Nothobranchius furzeri: one gene and its partner. The protein of the gene in region 2 interacts with the protein of the main gene of each other region in a biochemical or structural test. Links are inferred from orthologs where the notes say so. Each region holds a gene or a part of one and is shown on either strand. Other genes may lie near its edges.

The links.
Region 1: the proteins of wee1 (region 2) and pin1 form a complex in vitro, tested with the Homo sapiens proteins (2 studies listed by BioGRID, with this or other methods). The link is inferred for Nothobranchius furzeri from reciprocal best matches to the Homo sapiens genes WEE1 and PIN1.

The regions. Positions count from the first base shown.
Region 1 is NC_091744.1:9,162,997-9,166,647, reverse strand, and holds part of pin1 (peptidyl-prolyl cis-trans isomerase NIMA-interacting 1), read right to left. Parts: intron 2,009-3,651; coding exon 1,926-2,008; intron 798-1,925; coding exon 689-797; intron 608-688; coding exon 497-607; intron 1-496. UniProt on the Homo sapiens protein: Peptidyl-prolyl cis/trans isomerase (PPIase) that binds to and isomerizes specific phosphorylated Ser/Thr-Pro (pSer/Thr-Pro) motifs.
Region 2 is NC_091744.1:46,647,445-46,651,666, reverse strand, and holds the start of wee1 (wee1-like protein kinase), read right to left. Parts: upstream 2,909-4,222; 5' UTR 2,104-2,908; coding exon 1,582-2,103; intron 1,170-1,581; coding exon 955-1,169; intron 588-954; coding exon 521-587; intron 1-520. Other genes in the region: znf143b (zinc finger protein 143), read right to left, coding at 3,306-3,389. UniProt on the Homo sapiens protein: Acts as a negative regulator of entry into mitosis (G2 to M transition) by protecting the nucleus from cytoplasmically activated cyclin B1-complexed CDK1 before the onset of mitosis by mediating phosphorylation of CDK1 on 'Tyr-15'.

The DNA of each region.
Region 1 (3,651 bases), about 37 Mb from region 2:
CATTTGATAGTTTCTGCCTGCCGTTGCATTTGGTGTCTCGTTCCCTTTTACTTGTTATAAATGAGTTTTTATTTTTCCACACAAAAAGCTGTGTTTTCTGATTATTTTAAGTTTACAATCTGAAACAAATAAGACTTCCAAAACATCTTGGTCTCTATAAACCAGTTTCTTTCATCTACAGACAGTTATATTAAGACTTTCAGAAAAATCTTCACTTTGATTTTATTGTTACTTCAGACTTATTAGAGGAAAACTTTTTGGGGTATTACAGTTAAAAGCAAAACTATAACACCGGGAGAAGGTGTTGGTTTTAGTAAATAACCAAGTTAAGTGTTGAACCTGTCCCTTGCTCTCACACACACTCGATGTTTAAAAAAATAATAAAAATCTACACAAACATTTATCCTGGGAACAAAGTCCAACTGATCCGAATGGCTACAAATCTAAACAGAGAACTAAACTGAATAGTCCGACCCAGATCGTGATGTTTTAATACCTCTGCCAAACAGTCCGAGATCACCACCGTTCTTGGCTGAGCTGCAGTCGCTGAACTGTGAAGCTAAGGACTCAAACGATTCATGTCCAGACTTGATCTGTTCTATGTACTCTGAGCAGGAAAAAAGGACATGAAACGATCAGACTTCTGCAGAGTGACACCTCCGTTCCTCTTCTGCTTGGTCTAACTTACTCTGAATGAACTCCAAGGCCTCATCTTTAGTTCGTGTAATATTTTGTTCCCGCCAAGAAGATGGACGACGCGACTGATTATGTTTCACCAGGAGGTGAGAGCAGCGGACCTGTAAGAAAAACACAAAAATGGCCGAGAACTTTCATCGAAAGAGCTAATCATCAATCACCTGACCCATTAAGGATCCATTTTATTTTTCATACTAAGCATTAAGCACTGAACACATGAAATCAAAAGCATTTTGAAAGAAGCAGTTATAGAAGATGACTGAAAAGTTTATGCATCATTTTTCCATAAACAGCCTGTCTTGTCAAAGTCAGTTATTCAGTGCGTTTACATGCAGCCAGTAACCCTTTTAAAACCCGAATATTCACAATAACCCGGTTCCGCAGGTCCTTGTAAACACCACCAGAAACCCGGATATGCTCATAACCGGGTTTTTAAAAACCCGGTTACTACACCTGGGGTAACCCTTTTCTAACCCGAATGTTTGGTCGTGTAAATGCATACCGGGATATCCCCATCAAAGCGTGTGTTCTGCGCATGCTCTGTTCGCAAGGAATCTTGGTCTTTTGAGTAGCGAGACGTCTTGTATGCGCCAGAACACCAGAAGTAAACAAGTTGGGAGCAACATGGCGAGTCGTGGCACAGCACCACACTTTGAGTGACGAGGAAACTAAAGCGCAAACAAACACGGTCGCTATCTCTTCCGAACTGGGAAAAATTTTGTTGTTTTCACGGATACCAGAACAAGAAGAACCGGAAATGATGCATATTGCATCTGGACGTAGTCCACACGTCCTGACGCTGCCCCAACGTCCGCATTTACATCGGGTTATGCAAGTTAGGGGTAACTCGTGCTTGTAAACGGGTTATTCTGAACAACTCAGAAACCCGAATGCCGACCTTAACCCGATCATAACCCGGATATTGGCTGCATGTAAACGTACTCATTGTGCAGCCAAACTGATTCAACTAATCAGGATTATTTCATATTCAGTCACAGAAAACATACTTCAGCATTTTCTAAACTGTTGAATAAAACAGATCCTCCATATCAGTCTCTTTGATGGGTACTTTAAACCAGCAACACAAACTTGGAAGTATTCAACTGAAAACAAATTTCCTTATGTTTTGTTTTTGCCAAGTTTATTTTAAATGTCACATTTCCTGTTAAATAGTAGAAAAAAAATCCAACTTGTGTAATTAAAGTTTATTGTTGTTGTTATTGCAACACCTTATCTGGCTCTCCACGGCCGTCTCCCACTGGACGTTCCCACTGGCTGGCATTGGTGATGTGATTAAAGTAGTAAACCTTGCCTGCAAGAGAAAAAACCCCATAAATGTTTAAATTTCAACGTGCATCTATATTTTTATTACAAAGGTTACAAGAAAAGACAAAAATGAATAGTTATTGCTCACTTAAACCATTAATAAACAATTTTGTAAAGAGAAAAATGCAAAATACTTTATGTTTATGTATTTAGCAGACGCTTTTGTCCAAAGCGACTTACAAGTGATAATCGGCATGTTGCCCTTGAGGCTAACAACAACAAAAACAACAACTTGACATCAAGACCACAGAGAAAATATAAAAATAAGCAAAGTTTTAATCTGTGCATAAAATTTTATTTTGTTTCTTCTCTTTTTCATCACTTCCTTCTCCATTCTGCTCTTGCAGCCATACTGCATTTCCCCTGGGATCCACTAACTATCTATTTTTTTTTATTCGGTTTCTTGTTCCCTTTCCTCCACATTTTTAATCGCAACTTTTACTTTGATCATTCCATTCCATTCCATTCCATTTATTTGATAAAGCACATTTAAAAACAGCATGTGAGCTGACCAAAGTGCTGTACAGGGGTAAAAACATATAAGGTTAAAAGAATAATATAAAAGAATAAAACAACTAGAGCAAAACACAAAGAACCAACAATGAGAAGTCAATAAAATCAGTAAAAGAACAGTGTAAATAAACCATCGATAAAATAGCTAGGTAGTAAAAGCAAGAGAATAAAAGTAAGTCTTTAAGTGAGACTTAAAAACCCCAATGGAGGAGGAGAGTCTGATATGCAGCGGGAGATCATTCCAGAGTTTTGGAGCGCAGACAGAAAAAGCTCGTTCACCACGGGTTTTGCAGCGTTGACGGGGAATCTTTAATAGGTGTAGGTCACCTGAACGGAGAGTCCTGCCTGGCACATAAGGAGTGAGTAACTCGGATATGTAGGGTGGTGCTAAGCCATTCAGTGCCTTAAAAACAAACAATAAAATTTTAAAACGTATACGGTAGTGCACAGGAAGCCAGTGAAGTCTTGCTAAAATGGGAGTGATGTGCTGCCGACGGCCAGTATTGGTCAGAAATCTTGCTGTCGCATTTTGTATCAGCTGAAGGCGAGATAATGCGGCTTTTGAAATGCCAAACAGAATTGCATTGGAGTAGTCCAACCTTGAGGTGATCATATTTTACGATATTTAAAAAAAACATTTTTGTCCAAATGAAGAGCCTTCTTATTTTTATCTTGAGAGGTGCTGAATAAAATATTGTTCCTTCTTTCTTCCTTTAACTATATTGTACATTTCTATTTTCTGCATGCTGACTGAACCTTTGAGATCCAGCTGTAAATCCAGATTAAGACAGAGGATGCCAAAATAAACAAATAAATAAGTAAACGAGTGGGAAAACAACAGCTTCTTTCTCACATTTGAACATTTTTTTGTTTCTATTATTGACATGAACGTTTACTATCTATGCAGGAGACTTGTGCCTTTGCCAGAATTAAAAACATACATAAATTGCTCAAAATGATCTAAAATGCCATTGTGATTTCACTATTTTCAGCTAGTTTCAACACTTTTTAAAAATGAAATGAATTAAAATCTCAAAAGTGCCAAATGCGATTCAAGCCTTTCAAATTATTTCAAGCATTCCTATGAAGTGTTGACTTTGTGGTCACGTGTGCTCC
Region 2 (4,222 bases):
AACGCACGCCAGGATTCTGGTCGCTGTGATAAAATCTTTAACAAAAAAACTTATTTGAAATAAATTTACATTCATTGCTGCTTCGTCTAAAAGTTTCAGAGCACCAGCTAATCGTCCTAAAATTGACAACTTTCATTAGAAAATACATATTTTCAAAAAAGGCATTTGAGTCTTTTCTCCTGCTGCTACGGATTGTAGGTAATATCAAGGGTGCAAGTGAGAGTATTGAGATTGGGCCTTAGACCCACTCCTGTGTATTTCAGACCCAATTTTTATCAGATACAAAACAGCCACTATTTTCAACTACTGGGCATCATTTAATACATTTTCAACAACATTTTCATGGATGTTTCCAAAGAATATTGGTAACAACCACACGTCTTTAGCACAGGTCATGATGGCATGTTTTTTTTGAGATCTTCCAGTCTACTTCACGCCATTTGTTTGGGGTTAGGGGTTTTGTTTCCACAGTAAAGGGTCAAAATGAAGAAATCTATGAAGGGGTAAAAGTTTCATTTACCTTCGATGGTGGGAGGACTTCATCCTTGCCTTCACCGTCACTTGCCTCCATGTCTTCTCCACAGGAGCTGAAACAAGGGGATATTTGGTTAGCATTCTATCCAGCAGGGGGCAGCACAGTGCCTTCACAAGCACATGTCTGAGTTCATCAGTAACCATGAGGTCTTGACTTCCAGCCAACACCCCCTAGTCCTAATCAACAAACGGCCTTAACATCACTGGTCTGCCTCAACAAAGGCCTCATTGTGTTTTACAAAGAACAGGTGCAGCTGCTCGACCCTGCTCTGCAACGTGTGATGATCTCTGGCAGCACCTCAGGAACAACTAATACATAAAATAGATATTTCAGCTGATCTGGTCCTACAGAACAGTATCTTCATACATAACAAGTACTGACAAGATAATCTAGAATCTGAGAACCCCTGAGCAACATACTCGTTCCAGTGTGCTCTCTTCCTGTTGTTCCTCTCCTGTGTGGCTGACTGGATGATGAGGGAATCGGGGGTGAAGGGGTTAAAGTTGACCAGCGGGATGTGCGGTCTCCTGCCACTGTCCGAGGCTGGCTTTCTTGGAGACTCAACATTTTTAAAAAGAGCAACTCTTCTGCTGGAGGATCCTGGTGCAGAACCTCTGGCTCTGGAAAGCAAACTCTGCAAAAACAGGACCAGTCGTTACTAAACGCACAAAACAAAACATCTGCTTGAACTCACGTTGACTTGATTTCAAATAAAGAGTAAAGTTTTGGTGTCTTGTCTAATGCAGACATGTCTGGACATAAAGCTGCATGGACTCTGACCAACAGGCTTATGCAACAGGTACATTAATGGGTCACCGGGCTGATACCAGACTCTAGCGCAGTGAATGGGCTTTTGGAAGTTTTACAACAAACGGATGTTTTATATTAAAACGTGCGCCCCTAACAGGGCAGCTTTTAAAGCTAGCTGTGAATGAATAGATCAAACTTGCAAAAAATGAAAATAAATAAAAAAAATTCTTAATGTTTAGTAAACTCATGTTTCTACGGAGACACATGAAGATGTTGTTGTCTACACAGATCCTGACCTTCGGGGTGTGCGGCGTGTCAAAGAGCCGGAGTTTCCTGAAGGTTTTGTGCGGAGGTGTGTCCGGGCAGTCCGGGATCGGAGAGCTGGATCCTTCTCCGTCGTCCTGGAAGCTCCTTCCAGCTTCAGGCGACCCTCCGAACAACCGGGACACTTTCTTGGATGACGGTGAACAGTTTTTAAAAATAACACTGCTCGGTGAACAGTTTTTAAAAATAACACTGCTCGGTGAACAGATTAGAGACGGGGAACCGAGACTCTCCTCGTCCCACAGCTCCACGTCGTCGTCCCCACCGGACTGATTCAGGGGGCTGCAGCTGCCCTCCAGCCGCTTCCCGACAGTGTCCCGTCGCAATGGCGTGGGGGAATCCATCTCCGTGAAGCCGGACTCTCCGCCGGTGCTGTTGTTCACATCCTCGATAGGGTCGTCCTCTCCATCGCTGGAAGTGAACTTTAACTTCTGACGGATGGGTCGAGACTTAGGGGAGGGGGTTCCGTGTCGATGGCGACTGTAACTCGACATTTTCAAGATTTAAACCCCGAGATTATCGACCAAAAAATTAAAAAAAAAAAAAAAAAAAAAATACCGGGGATACCCACCACAGAAAAGTAGTCTGCTTCTATTTACCTTCACGTAAAGGTATCGGTTAAGACGTTTTTTAATCTCCAGCGTTAACTTTCTTCTTGCTAACTCCCAACAACACGGGGAGAAACGCTAAGAAATGGCCTCTCACGAGCCGTATTCCATGTAACGTCCAAAGTATTAAAGTAAAAACGAATAAAAGTACTCAGTCCGTTAACTCCAGTGCGGCTGTCCGGTCCACCGACGTCCCGGTGACTCACCGACGTCTTTCCTCGATTAAACCTTACTTATGTTTACAAAAAGTTTTGAATGAGTCAAGCAACGAGTTCTTCCCGTGACGCGCGTGGCGAAGAACTTCCCGCGACCGTTGGTCACGTGTCACACCGCAGCCAATCAGAGCTTGCCTCTGAATTTTGAAAGCTGGGCGTTCCAGAGCGATTTCTGGTGGATTACGTCATAGATATCAGCAAAACAATATGGCGCGAACGTGTGCCTTTTCACGACGCTCACATTGCCAAGACAAAACGCGAAGTCATCAGGCGGCACGATCAAACAAGCCTCTGTTGTGAAGCAACTTGAAACCCAATTACGTTAATCAAAATTACGTTTATATTGCCGCGAATTTCAAACGAGTCAAACTTATCGTTCCTTTTTAGAAGAAATATTCTCACTGCCAAAGGTGAAGTTATACAGCAGACTGGGTGGTGTGGTTTGTAGTGGGAAAAAAAAATCCCAAACTGAATCATCTGGTTATTTATAACACTGTAAGCACCATCTCTTAACAGTTGTCTTCCATTGTACCCTTTTTTGTTGATGCAGCAAGTTGTTTATTTGTTAGGAATATTCTAAATGAACCATTTGGTATGGATCTCTAGCCTCTTCACCTGCAGAGTGGAGCAATAGTGATGGAAAGTTAAGAGTCACAGATTTGTTTACAAATAGCATTTACTGTACACTTTTAACATTTGAAGGCATCCCCCAAATGTTTTTATGAGGGGAAAAATACACAACATAATTCAGATTATTAAAATCCTATGTACACATGAGAGCAACTTTCATCTGTGAAAACAAATAGAAGGAAGACTCATAATTTCTCCCACTTATAAAGTTAAACAGTCTTTTTTTTGTCCATAAGGAGTTCATCAATCATCCAGGCCTGGTGACTCTCCCTGCTGTATCCTTGATGCTATCCTAATGGCTTCCTCCAGCGACGGCTGATCAGTCAGCTACAGGAAGAAAAGACAGAAAGCAGCATTACAACAATATTTAACACAGACTGGTGTGTATTACTCTATCAGGGTCTTTTGTTGCATTTGTTTACTCTAAACCCATCTTTAAACTGATGATGTTACAGACGGTTGTATTTCAGGATAGGGAAGACTGTTTTGTAATTTACAAATACAATAAATAAGTTCACAATAAAAAAGGCCGATTATCAGACTTTGATCTAATTAGTGTGATTAGGGATTTATGGCTCTTTCGTGGGAGTCGTTCATTAGTCGGTCGTTTACCTCAAAGAGCCGTTCAAAAGACTGGCTCCTTTGAAAGAAGCGAAGCAAAGAGAGCAACGTGTTGCGGCGGTGTCCGTGAGGGTGCACGGGGTTGTTTAGTGCTCCTCCTACGTCCGTGACAGTGGTGGGTGGTGTTTGAGCGGCTGCGCTTTACTGACTTCTGGGGAGGTTTGTTACCGGAAGACAAGATGAACAGCTCTCTAGAGGGAATCTGCTCTCATCGTTCACTTTGAAAACCCGTTCAAAAGATTCGATTCGTTCATGAACGTCACACCACTAGAGCTAATCATGCCCCCCACCCACGTCCGACAGGCCTGCTTTACTACATCTCAAAACTCCAACCATAAAATGGATATTAGTATTTTGGAGGCATGCTGGTGGCTTTCTCAGATCTGAATTAGAGGCCGGCTGATATATTCAGTTTTTTCTATGTCGGCCAAAATTATTTTAAAAAGCCGATAAAGTTTTTTTTAATTTAAAAATCAGGCACCTGTGTGGCCAACTGCCGCCACAACTAGACTGAAGAAAGGACCCTAAGGATCACAACA